Drosophila melanogaster: one gene and its partner. The protein of the gene in region 2 interacts with the protein of the main gene of each other region in a pairwise test. Each region holds a gene or a part of one and is shown on either strand. Other genes may lie near its edges.

Region 1 (7,815 bases), on a different chromosome or scaffold from region 2:
TTGTTTTGACCACAAACGTAAGGTGAAATAGTATTGTATTTTCGAACCTTCGATTTGCATTCGATGGATATAGAAATAGCGATTGAACTAGGTGCATGCCTGAAATGTAGCCATTCGGAAATGTTTCCAAAAATCAATCAGAGTCACAGCCTTAATGTCCAGTTCAACTTTAGATTTGGTGTCGGTTTTAACACGCAGTTCTTGTGAATAATCCTGTAAATGTGAGTGTACATGTACATCGTAGTTCGTAAGCGAACGCATCTAGCGGCCAGTAACTATAAAAAAGAGCACTAGTGTCTACGTTGAATCCAAATAAATGTGCTATGTATTTTAAAAAATGAGATCCTCTAGATATCGCTCGAATTCCTGCTCTCTGGAGGCTTGCTCTCGGCTTATATCGGGTTGTTGTTGCCAGATCTGTTCGTCTGCCGTGGTGGCATCCTTTGAGTCTGTGGGCTCCTTGCTGGCTTCTGGATGGGATTCGGATGCTGGTTCGACAGGCTCCTCCTCCTCTTCGCCAGAACTTTCGTGACCAACATCGAGTTTTCGACGCTTACGTTTCTTTTCAGCGCGCCGTTCCTCCTTTTCCCTGCGTCTCCGCTTCTTGCATTCTCTCTTCTTGGTGCGGTAGTTCAGCTGATCCGTGTGGGTGGGACACAGCCGCACCTATGGAATTCCCATTAGTGACACAATCGCGGAAACCCATTTGGAACCCACCTTGACCAGCGCATTTAGGGGCTCACCCTTTTCGATATACCTAAAGTTTACCTCCCAGCTGCGCAGATTATCCCGCTCCCCGCAATGCCGGCTGCCGCACTGGAACTGCCCGGTTCCGGTGACCACCTCCTGCTCCGTTCGCCAGCGCAGCGCTATCTTGTTCTCCTTGTAGCGGGACAGGTCCGCGATGCAGTACTCCTTAAATAGCTTCCTGTAGTATCGCAGGGCCAAGCGCTGCTCCCAGCTTAGGGTGTCGCTATCCAACTCGTCGTCCTCCCACAGGAAGCGGTGATTCTCTCGGATTACATCGATGTCTCGCTTGTGCCGACGTGATTCCGTCTCATTCGGTAGGTTAAGCACGTAATTACTAAGTATATAGTTGTGTCGCTCCTTGGCACTCAGGTTGTTCAGATTCACTGGGAATAATTGCGAGCCGCTCATTATGATAAAAAATTTATAATAAACAGACTTCGATTTCAGGGCACTGCCTATCGATATATCGAAGACTGTGGTCCTACTCTGGCTATTTTTACGCTATATATTAAACGATAAATAAAATGAAGCTGCAAAATTTAATCACAAATTGAAATTATTCCAACTGAATATAATAAATAAATTTTAATATATATTATTGTTATTAACCAAAATAAAATGGCTATAACAAGTTTAGAAGAATGGCCCGTAATGGCGAAACTGCATGGTATTAATCTTAGCCAATACATATACTGTTTACACACTGTGGAATAAGTTAAATTTCTTACTTTAAAGGTACAAATTAAGAGTTCTTTGCTTAATTAAATGCAACTTTTTATGAAATATAATTAAACAATATTTATTTTACTTATAAATCAAAAAAACAAATTAAAAATGTGAAATATACAAGAAAATAAAAAACAAATTCCAAGTTTACACACTTTTTAAAATTATTTTATGACCCCCATTGGCTTTGGCTACGAGTAGACTGTACACTTATCAGTAAACAATAATTATTTGTAGCGTTCCTCCGTTTTTTACTACAAGTCCAATGTTATTGAATTCATTCCCACAGTGACTCAAGTCTCAGGAGCGGGTGCGGTTCCCATTTCGATAAGTATTACTATCGACGTTGATAGAGAAAAAATGCCATTCAACAAAGCAAAGTAAAATTAGGGAAAAGTTGATGTTAAACAGAAAATGGCTGGGACTTTTACCCCGCTGTTCTTCGTCTTTCTGCGGAAGAATTTGCTCTACTTGCAACGCAACTTGCTGCCCCTGCTCCTTATCTGCTCCGGATTTGCCGGAGTACTCACCGCGTACCTCCACTGGTCCGTCAAGCCCGTGCTTCACCAAATTAACCAGTTTGAAGCAAAGAATGAAGTAAGTTTCCCTCGCACTGCTACTTTATCTGCTTTTTATATTTGTACATACGTATGCATGTGATAACAAACCTGTGACCACACTAATCCTTATCATTGGACTTCAATTTATTTATTAGATGGTTCTTAGAGAATTGTACTTTCCCGGTAATGAGCTGGATTACATTTACTACTCACCCATCTCTCCCAATGTAGAGGACATTATGGATCTCCTGCGTGTAGATCTGGGAATTATACCAGAGCGTAAGTGCATTTCCAAATTATCTCATAAATTAGATATGTGGAAAAGTTTGTATGGTAAACGTAAACGTTTCCGACCATATAAAGCTTATATGTACTTTTGATAACGATCATACAAAATAACATACAAAATTCACTGCATATATTTGCGATACTATCTTCTAGATTGTATTTAACAATATTTCATTGCGCAGGACTTCGGCCCAACAACAACAGCTTCGAGATGCAGCTGGAGATGGAGCAACAGTGCCGTGGAAGCTGCTTCGCAATTGACTTCCACCGGGTACCGAACCGTGGCTCTGACAGAAAGTTCCGATACAGCCTCAGCTCAAATCAGATGCGCATTTCGCCCAGAAAGCGATTTGTGAACGACGAGGAAATTTATCACCAGATAGGTGCGTGTTCAATTTTTCCATTGTTACCGTTTAACGAACCCGCATGTTGGTTTTTGTTTATCAGATGATGATGATTATATTCGTTCCGGATTCCTGTCCTTGCAACACATATTGGACAAACAGTATATGAAATACCAGGAGCTCGGGAAAGACTTTGAGGTGGTGGTCAGCTCGATGCCCAACATGGAGGTCATCAGCATGGATAGTCATCGATTGACATATTTCGGAACACTGTGCAGCATTCTATTCAATGTGGTCCTACTAAGCAGCTTTGTGGTGCCCTTTGTGGAGGAGAAGCAAAACGGACTGAAGGAGTTTCTCAACCTGGTCACGCCCATGAGTTTCCTCAACGGCCTCACTTTCTTTCTCATTCGGTTTGTGTGCTACACATTGCTTATGATCTTTGTCCTGGTCGTTGCATATTTATACAAGGCCCTGGGCTCCATCTGCTTTGCTTACGTGGCAGTGTTGTTTCTGCTTTACATTTTGTCAACCATGTCGTATGCTTATCTGATCTCTATTTGCTTCCACTCAGGTAAGTAATTACATTGATATATTCAGCAAAGTTTACTAATCTTCTACATAACTTACAGTTTTCTATGCGAAAATCGGAGGGCTGGCAATGCTAATAATTCCCTATGCATTCTCATTTGTTCGAAGCTGGGCCACATCGCTGGCATTTGTGTGTTTTAGCACGAATACCTTTCTGGAGGGATTGGATATTTTTCAGACATTTTCAAATAAGCGTAAGAGTTTAAATTGGTTTTTAGTAGCTTAACATTTAAATTTGAACACTGGCTTTTTTTGAAGATCGCGAATTCGGTGCTGTGGATGTATTTCGCGTAATCAAAAGCAATTCCTCAACGATGTTTTCGGTCTACGTGGTTCTCGTCTTTCAATCCTTTTTGTATGCCATGCTCTACAACTATTTGGGTTGTGTTTTTCCCGGTCCTGGTGGACTAAAGCGACCGATGTTCTTTTTCCTAGATGTAAGTACTATTTCCGAAGTCCGAACCAATGATATTTAATGTCGGTATCAGATCAAAATTTTCGCTCGTGTGATATATTTTCTTATCTCGACATAAGCTTCAATTCAGTTCGTATTATAATTTTATGTTCATTATAATCAAGTATGAGATCAGATGCAGTAAGACTCTTTATTTCAATAGGTTACTTTGATCGAATCTTGTTTATTGAAATCGGTTAAAATGTCCTTTTTACAGTTCCGTATCGGTTATCGGCTGCATAACCAAACAGGGTTAAATTAAGAATTTTCTTTATTCTAAACCATAGCCCAAGACTTACATGAAACGACAACGCAACGAATACACGACGACACCGCGCGGCACTCATGCTATCATAATCACTGAGTTGTGCAAGAAGTTCCAGACAAGCAAGCGCGATACGCTAATTTCGGACAACTTGAACATGACGATCAACAACAAGGAGATTACTGTCCTGCTGGGCCACAATGGAGCTGGAAAAACAACCATGATGAACATGATAATGGGTAGGGACTCAAACTCAATTCGCTTCCTCGGCCATCCAATGCACATGTTGATTCTCTTTCAGGATTGGTACCAAAGGATTCGGGCAAGATAATTGTGTGCAGTGAGCGCGATGTGGCCTCCTATCGCCACCTGATTGGATTCTGTCCGCAGCACAGCGTTTTCATGAGCTACATGACATGTCACCAGCACTTGGAGTTCTTTGCCCAGCTGCGGGGAGCTTGCCGATCCGATGCACGCGATTGGGCAGATGAGAAACTTAAGAAGCTGGGACTTAGCGATAAGCGAAACGAATTCGGCAAGAATTTGTCTGGAGGCATGAAGAGGCGTTTATCACTGGGTATCGCCATTGCCGGTAACACCAAGTAAACTTAAGAGATATATTGCTTAAAGATATTCGGTTTAAAAATCTTTGTTTAATCTCGCAGAATCGTAATCCTTGACGAACCATCATCGGGATTGGACATTAACTCGCGTCGTGAGCTGTGGGACATCCTACTTAATCTACGCAAGGAGAAGGCCGTTCTGGTCACCACGCACTACATGGAGGAGGCCGAGGTCCTTGGGGATACCATCTGCATATTGGCCAATGGAAAACTGCAGAGCATCGGGAGTCCTTTGGAATTAAAACGAAAATCGGGAATTGGTTATCGTCTCAAATTAGAGATCAACGATTTTACATCAAGAGAAGTGGAAATCATGGAAATAATCCATCACTTTGTGCCAACAGCCAGAGTCTTGGTAAGTCATTAATAAATGAACTTTATATAAGGCGTGTGCATAATATCCTTTAAACGTTGAACAGAATGTGGTGAATCCTACTGTGTATATCTGCCTGCCGTATGCCTATAAAAATTGTTTCGCACAAATGCTTTATAGGCTGGAGACTGAATCAAAGGAACTGGGCATACATACAATTTCCATGACCGACACTTCCCTGGAGGATGTTTTCCTAAGGTAGGGATTGGAAGATACATTGTTTATTGTTTTTGCTTTAATATCTTATGTGGTGTTTTAGATGCGCAGGCGAACAGGATCAAGTGGATACCCCCGATGGTTCGCGCAATGATGCGCCGCTACTGGCACACTACAAAAGACTCCAAGACCATCCCCCTCATCGCGGACTTTTTCAACTTTGGATGGCTGTGTTTTACAAAAAGTGGACCTTTATTTCCAATGAATGGTTATATACTCTGATAATGGTAAGTTGTTAGCAATTTGTAGGACTTTGCTCTGTTGTATAAACGGCGAAAACAACTAAAACTAAAACGAACTAAAAACTTTTTGTGCTCCCCTCTCGCTAGCTGTGCATTCCCTTTGTATGCGTATTCGGGGCTATACTGGTGATGCACGCCATGTCCTTGGTGGAGAACGAAGAGGCTCTGCCGCTGAAGCTCAGCCAGATGGGCAGTGGCGTTATATACGTTCACAATCCAACGGGCCATCACGCCCATTTGGAGCAGCAGCTGCGTCAACAGATCGAGCTGAATGGAATCACAGCGAAAACAATGCACCTGCGTGGGAGTAATGATGTGAAAAATGGTGAGTATGCGACGTTGTGCTAAACATTTTAATGGCTCTATCAATACATGTGTTCTCTAGAATCCCTTGACTTACAACGCGACAACTTGGCTGATTTCTTGGAGCAGGTGATTGGCATTATTGACATGTACGGAGGTGGGCGTGGCACCTCCGATACGCCCACCATTGAGATTTTTTACTCAGGCAATCGCTACCACAGCTCTGTGGAGCTTATCAACCTGGTGGACTCGGCAATGCTGAAGCTAGGGCGTCCAGAGTCTGAAATTGATACGACTTACGTGCCAATTCGTCGATTTGTTAGCGACATAAGTCCATCGCGCCTCGAATACTATGCGGTCATCGTGCCGATCGGCATGTTCTTCTTCATGTTCTATTTCATCTCATTGCCGTTTCGGGAATATGCCAATGGATTCAAACAGCTGCAGACCATGTCGCGATTTACTTATTGGTTTGCGCATTTTACTTTTGATATGCTGATCCTGATCTTCGTCTGCGTTGCCCTGTTCAGTCTGCAATCCTTGATGATGCCCTCGGAGCTGTATACAACGGCTGAACTTAAGGTCATTGTGTTAAGCATATTTTTCTACGGCTGCAGCTACCTGCCCATTCTATACGCCCTGGGAAACAACTTTAAGTCGATATCCACGATATCTACTTATTTGCTTTTGATGCTGATTGTGTCCGGTAATATTATTTGATTTTATAACCAGTGACAACAATTAGAAAAACTATAAAACCCATTTTCTTTTAGCCATTGCCCCACTTATCACCTCCAGCAATGCGGCGGCCATGAAACTGCATGAGACCAAGATCGCCTTCCTCTGCTTCCTACCGGACTTCAATCTTAATCACCAGTTTCGCATCATCAATGAAAACTTTATAACCCGACGCCATCCGGCACTTATAAAGGGTCTTATCAGCCAGGACACCTTCTTTGCCTATGCCACCGCCGTGGGTGTTATGGTCATGGCATTCTTTACCATAGTCCTGGAACACAAGTATCTGCGCAGACGAATTCATGATGGCATCTGGGAATGGGCATTCCAAAGAAAGAAATACAATTCGACAGGCACCCTTCCCAGTACTCCGATCTCAGAAATTGATGATTGTGCAAGGGAGGAAAAACGGGTTACCGATCTGATAAAAGACCCATTGAACGACCATTCACTGATTGTGCACAATCTTCGCAAGCGATACGGCGATAAGCTGGCTGTGGACGGAGTCAGCTTTGCGGCTGCCCAGGGTGAATGCTTTGGTCTGTTGGGTGTTAACGGAGCGGGTAAGACAAGTACCTTTCAGATGATAGCGGCCAATTTGCCTCTAGATGGTGGCACTATCCGCATCAAAGGCGCAGACATTCGCGAGCATGAGTTGAAATACCGGGAATACTTTGGCTACTGCCCTCAGTACGATGCACTAAATAAATTCATGACCGCCGAGCAGTGCCTATACTACATGGCATTGCTGCGCGGCCTGAGCCGCCGAAGGACCGATGGACCAGCCAGCTGCAAGGAGCACGTGAAGTACTGGCTAGAGAAGATGCATTTGACCAAATATCAAAAGGTGCAAGTGCGCCACTATTCGGGCGGCACGAAACGCAAGCTTCTGGCGGCAATGGCCATGATTGGTGCACCCGCACTGGTGCTCCTGGACGAACCTACCACCGGTGTGGATCCCATCTCGAGACGATTTCTTTGGCAATGCATCAAGGATTTCCAGGGAAAGGATCGAACAGTGGTGCTCACATCACATAGGTAAGCCCAAAAAAGTATATTTCCTTTTCAAACAGATTCAAAAGTGTACACATTCTCTACAAACAGCATGGACGAGTGCGAAGAGCTGTGCAATCGCTTGGCCATCATGGCGCACGGAAAGTTCAAGTGTCTGAACAATATTTGCGCCCTTAAGCGATTAAGCGGCTTCACGATAAAACTGAAAATGAAGGCGGACACCGAAACGGAGATGAATGTGTCCACGATCACTGGCACGTTGAAGTCAGAGTTTCCTGGTCTGGAACTGCGCGAGAGCCATGCCGGCACACTCACCTACTTTGTTAGC
Region 2 (3,587 bases):
CCATCCGCCTGCTTAAGGCAAGTGGTGTCCAGCCCAAGCGCAATTTCTTCGTGACCTTTGTGCCCGATGAGGAGATCGGCGGCGAGCTGGGCATGCAGGAGTTCGTCAAAACGGAATACTACAGCAACATGAATGTTGGTTTCAGTCTGGACGAGGGCGGCACCAGTGAAATAGATCTGTTCTATGTCTTTTATGCCGAACGTATGCGATGGGGTGAGTAATCCTTGAGACACATCTAGGACTAGAATCTAAACTATATCCCCTCTTTGGCAGGTCTCAAGCTGAATTTCAGTGGAACCTCTGGACACGGCTCCATGTTGCTGCCCAGCACTGCCGGCGTGAAACTGAACTATGTGCTCAACAAGCTGACGGAGTTCCGCGAATCGCAGGTTCAGAGGCTGGCCAATGATCAGACAATCAACATCGGTGATGTGACAACTATCAATCTCACCCAGCTGAGCGGTGGAGTCCAGAGCAATGTGGTGCCTCCTCATTTCGAGGCTGTCTTCGACATGCGTCTGTCCATCACCCTGGATGTGGTTGCCTTTGAGAAACAGATCCACGATTGGTGCGAGGAGGCAGGTGGCGGCATCGAGATCTCCTTCGACGAGAAGGAACCCTACGTGGCACCCACAAAGATCGACGACTCCAATCCATTCTGGCTGGCTTTCAAGGCTGCCACCGATGAACTGTAAGTCTGAATCGAATGCTCAACAATGCGTGTTCCTAATACGATTTGTATGTTTATAGTGGCCTTAAGATCTACCCCATTGTCTGCCCCGGTGCCACCGACAGCAGGAACATTCGAGCTCAGGGCATTCCAGCCTTGGGATTCTCACCCATCAAAAATACCACCATGCGCATCCATGATCACGATGAGTTCTTGGGCGCCGAAACTTATTTGAAGGGCATTCAAATATACAAGAAAATTTTGGGCAACCTAGCGAATGTCTAAAAACTAAATCGAAATAATACATGAAAACCTTATCAAAATAAAGATTGATGATTTTGTTATAAGTTAGTACAAAACTTCCTGGCCTTTTATCTTATCTCAACGAATACCTTAATCAACTTAAGATCTGAAGAATACAACTTGCTATCCTTGCGACAGCAAGTAGATAATGGATGTATCTACATTTTGCTGTATCATCATAGATAGCAAGTTGGAAGACTGGGAAGCCCATTAAATCCAAAATAATCACTTGATTTTTTCAAATCGAAGGTCATCAATCAAAGCTTCGTCATTTTAATTGAATTTGTCATAATTTTACGATATGATGGAAAATATTGAAAAATACATGACAACTTACCAAGAACTTGAGGTTTCAAAGGTTGAGGTTGCATAGATAATACGCAATGAACTCATTTCTGTGTAAGTTGCATAGATAATACATAATGAACTATTTGCCGCTTAGAAAAGTTACTTATTCGGATAATAGACGTGTGGGTTTTGCAGATAAGGGCGTTACTATCGCAACCACATACACTTTTGATAAGCATTTAAATTCCTTGACCATAAACATGAAAGCAATCAGTGTGATTATAAAAGCACAGACAATCTTTGTTGCAGCTCAGTTGCTGATGACAGAAGAGTGTCGAAATGAGCTCGGAAAAGTGGGAAAACAATGAGGAAATTAAGATTTTCCGGGAATACTTGCGTATACCAACGGTGCATCCAGATGTTGACTATAGTGAGGACTTAATTTTAATTCTTTAAAGTTTGCGTTATAATGTCTTTCAATGTCTAGCTGCCTGTGTGGAGTTCCTGAAACGTCAGGCTAGCTCCCTAAATCTTCCTGTTGAAGTGGTTTATCCTGCTGTTCAAACGAAGCCCGTTGTGATCATCAAGTGGGAAGGAAGTCAACCCGAACTATCGTCCATTGTTCTCAACTCTCACACGGATGTGGTGCCAGTTTTTCGAGAGAAGTGGACCCATGAACCCTTCTCCGCCGATATTGATGAAGAGGGTAGGATCTTTGCACGGGGTACTCAGGACATGAAATCGGTGGGCACTCAGTATCTAGGAGCGATTCGCCTGCTGAAAGCTAGTGGCTTCAAACCAAAAAGGAATTTGTATGTGACCTTTGTTCCCGACGAAGAGACTGGTGGTCATCTGGGCATGGCGGAGTTTGTTAAGACGGATTACTACAAGAAAATGAACGCGGGATTCAGCCTGGACGAAGGCGCCACTAGTGAAAGTGACGTTCATCATTTGTTCTACGCCGAACGTTTGCGATGGGGTAAGTTCCATAAGGATGATGATGATGGATTGGGGACATTACCGTTTCGCTTTATGCAGGACTCAAGCTGAAAGTCAGTGGAACTTCTGGTCATGGTTCCCTTTTGCTACCCAATACGGCAGGAGTAAAACTGAACTATCTGGTCAACAAACTGACTGAATTCCGCACCTCGCAAGTGGAGAACCTTGCGAGAGATTCCAGCCTCAGCAAGGGCGATGTGACCACCGTGAATCTCACCCAGTTAAGTGGCGGAGTCCAGAGCAATGTGGTTCCGCCACTTTTCGAGGCGGTCTTCGACATACGGATTGCCATTACTGTGAATGTGGTTGCCTTTGAGAAACAGATTCGCGATTGGTGCGAGGAGGCGGGTGGTGGCATTGAAATTGATTTCTTCCAGAAGGAGCCTTATATAGGACCCACCAAGCTGGACAATTCCAATCCCTACTGGCTAGCTGTCAAAGCCGCAATCGATGAGCTGTAAGTACCGACTAAAAATTAACTATAATGGCTAATCGAAATCCTCCTGTGTTTTAGTGGATTGAAGGTTCATCCCATCGTTTGTCCTGGCGCCACTGACAGTCGTTTCATTCGGGAGAAGGGTACCCCAGCCATTGGATTCTCACCCATTATAAACACCACCATGCGGATCCATGACCACGACGAGTTTCTGCAGGCTGATGTGTATCTTAATGGCATTGATGTGTACAAGAAGATTATTCGCAATCTGGCTGAAGTCTAAACAAAATGTTTGAACTACATGGATCGTGGCTATAATAAAGATGGGCTAATTACTAAAGTGTGCCTCGTATCTTCATTTTAGAGAGTAATCTTATCAAAAAAAAAAAAAGATTCAAGAGTTTAATTTGAAATTCCGTGTTTATCTCAATATTGTTTGTTGATTCTTTGACTTTCGCCTCCTTGATCAAGATATAAATGATTCTGATGGGAATTCTGTAGCAGATTGTCAACTATACTGCTTCTTGTCACTACCTCGACTGCCATCCAAAGTGACTTGCAATATAGTCAGAATTGGAAGAGATCTGCCGCCCATTGATAACGATTTTCTTATCATATACGCATAATCACTTTTGTGGCACGATCCAAATGCATATAAAGACAGCGGATGCCTTTAGCTGCTTATTTCTACTTTACCATCCTAACGATTCATATTAAAAATGAGTGCCGAAAAATGGGAAAAGAACGAGGAAATTCGAATATTCCGGGAGTATTTGCGAATTCCATCTGTACACCCTAATATTGATTATAGTAAGGTCCTTATTTTAATATTTCCTTAAATGCATTAGCACTATTCATTTTTAGCTGCTTGTGTGGAGTTTATTAAGCGGC

The links. Proteins that work in one complex are often made in the same cells at the same time.
Region 1: the proteins of CG6733 (region 2) and Eato interact in a two-hybrid assay, tested with the Drosophila melanogaster proteins (one large-scale study listed by BioGRID).

Annotation. Positions count from the first base shown.
Region 1 is NT_033779.5:13,782,280-13,790,094, forward strand, and holds the start of Eato (engulfment ABC transporter in the ovary), read left to right. Parts: upstream 1-1,804; 5' UTR 1,805-1,890; coding exon 1,891-2,073; intron 2,074-2,191; coding exon 2,192-2,315; intron 2,316-2,433; exon of another isoform or gene 2,434-2,506; coding exon 2,507-2,707; exon of another isoform or gene 2,708-2,771; coding exon 2,772-3,242; intron 3,243-3,300; coding exon 3,301-3,459; intron 3,460-3,517; coding exon 3,518-3,696; intron 3,697-3,930; coding exon of another isoform or gene 3,931-3,975; exon of another isoform or gene 3,976-4,000; coding exon 4,001-4,217; intron 4,218-4,279; coding exon 4,280-4,580; intron 4,581-4,643; coding exon 4,644-4,956; intron 4,957-5,020; coding exon 5,021-5,172; intron 5,173-5,233; coding exon 5,234-5,417; intron 5,418-5,519; coding exon 5,520-5,757; intron 5,758-5,817; coding exon 5,818-6,441; intron 6,442-6,508; coding exon 6,509-7,511; intron 7,512-7,577; coding exon 7,578-7,815. Other genes in the region: CG16890 (uncharacterized protein), read right to left, coding at 331-666, 718-1,158.
Region 2 is NT_033777.3:23,096,159-23,099,745, forward strand, and holds CG6733 (uncharacterized protein), read left to right. Parts: upstream 1-1,569; 5' UTR 1,570-1,600; coding exon 1,601-1,691; intron 1,692-1,748; coding exon 1,749-2,240; intron 2,241-2,299; coding exon 2,300-2,717; intron 2,718-2,774; coding exon 2,775-2,979; 3' UTR 2,980-3,033; downstream 3,034-3,587. Other genes in the region: CG17109 (uncharacterized protein), read left to right, coding at 1-213, 274-691, 751-955; CG6738 (uncharacterized protein), read left to right, coding at 3,416-3,506, 3,561-3,587.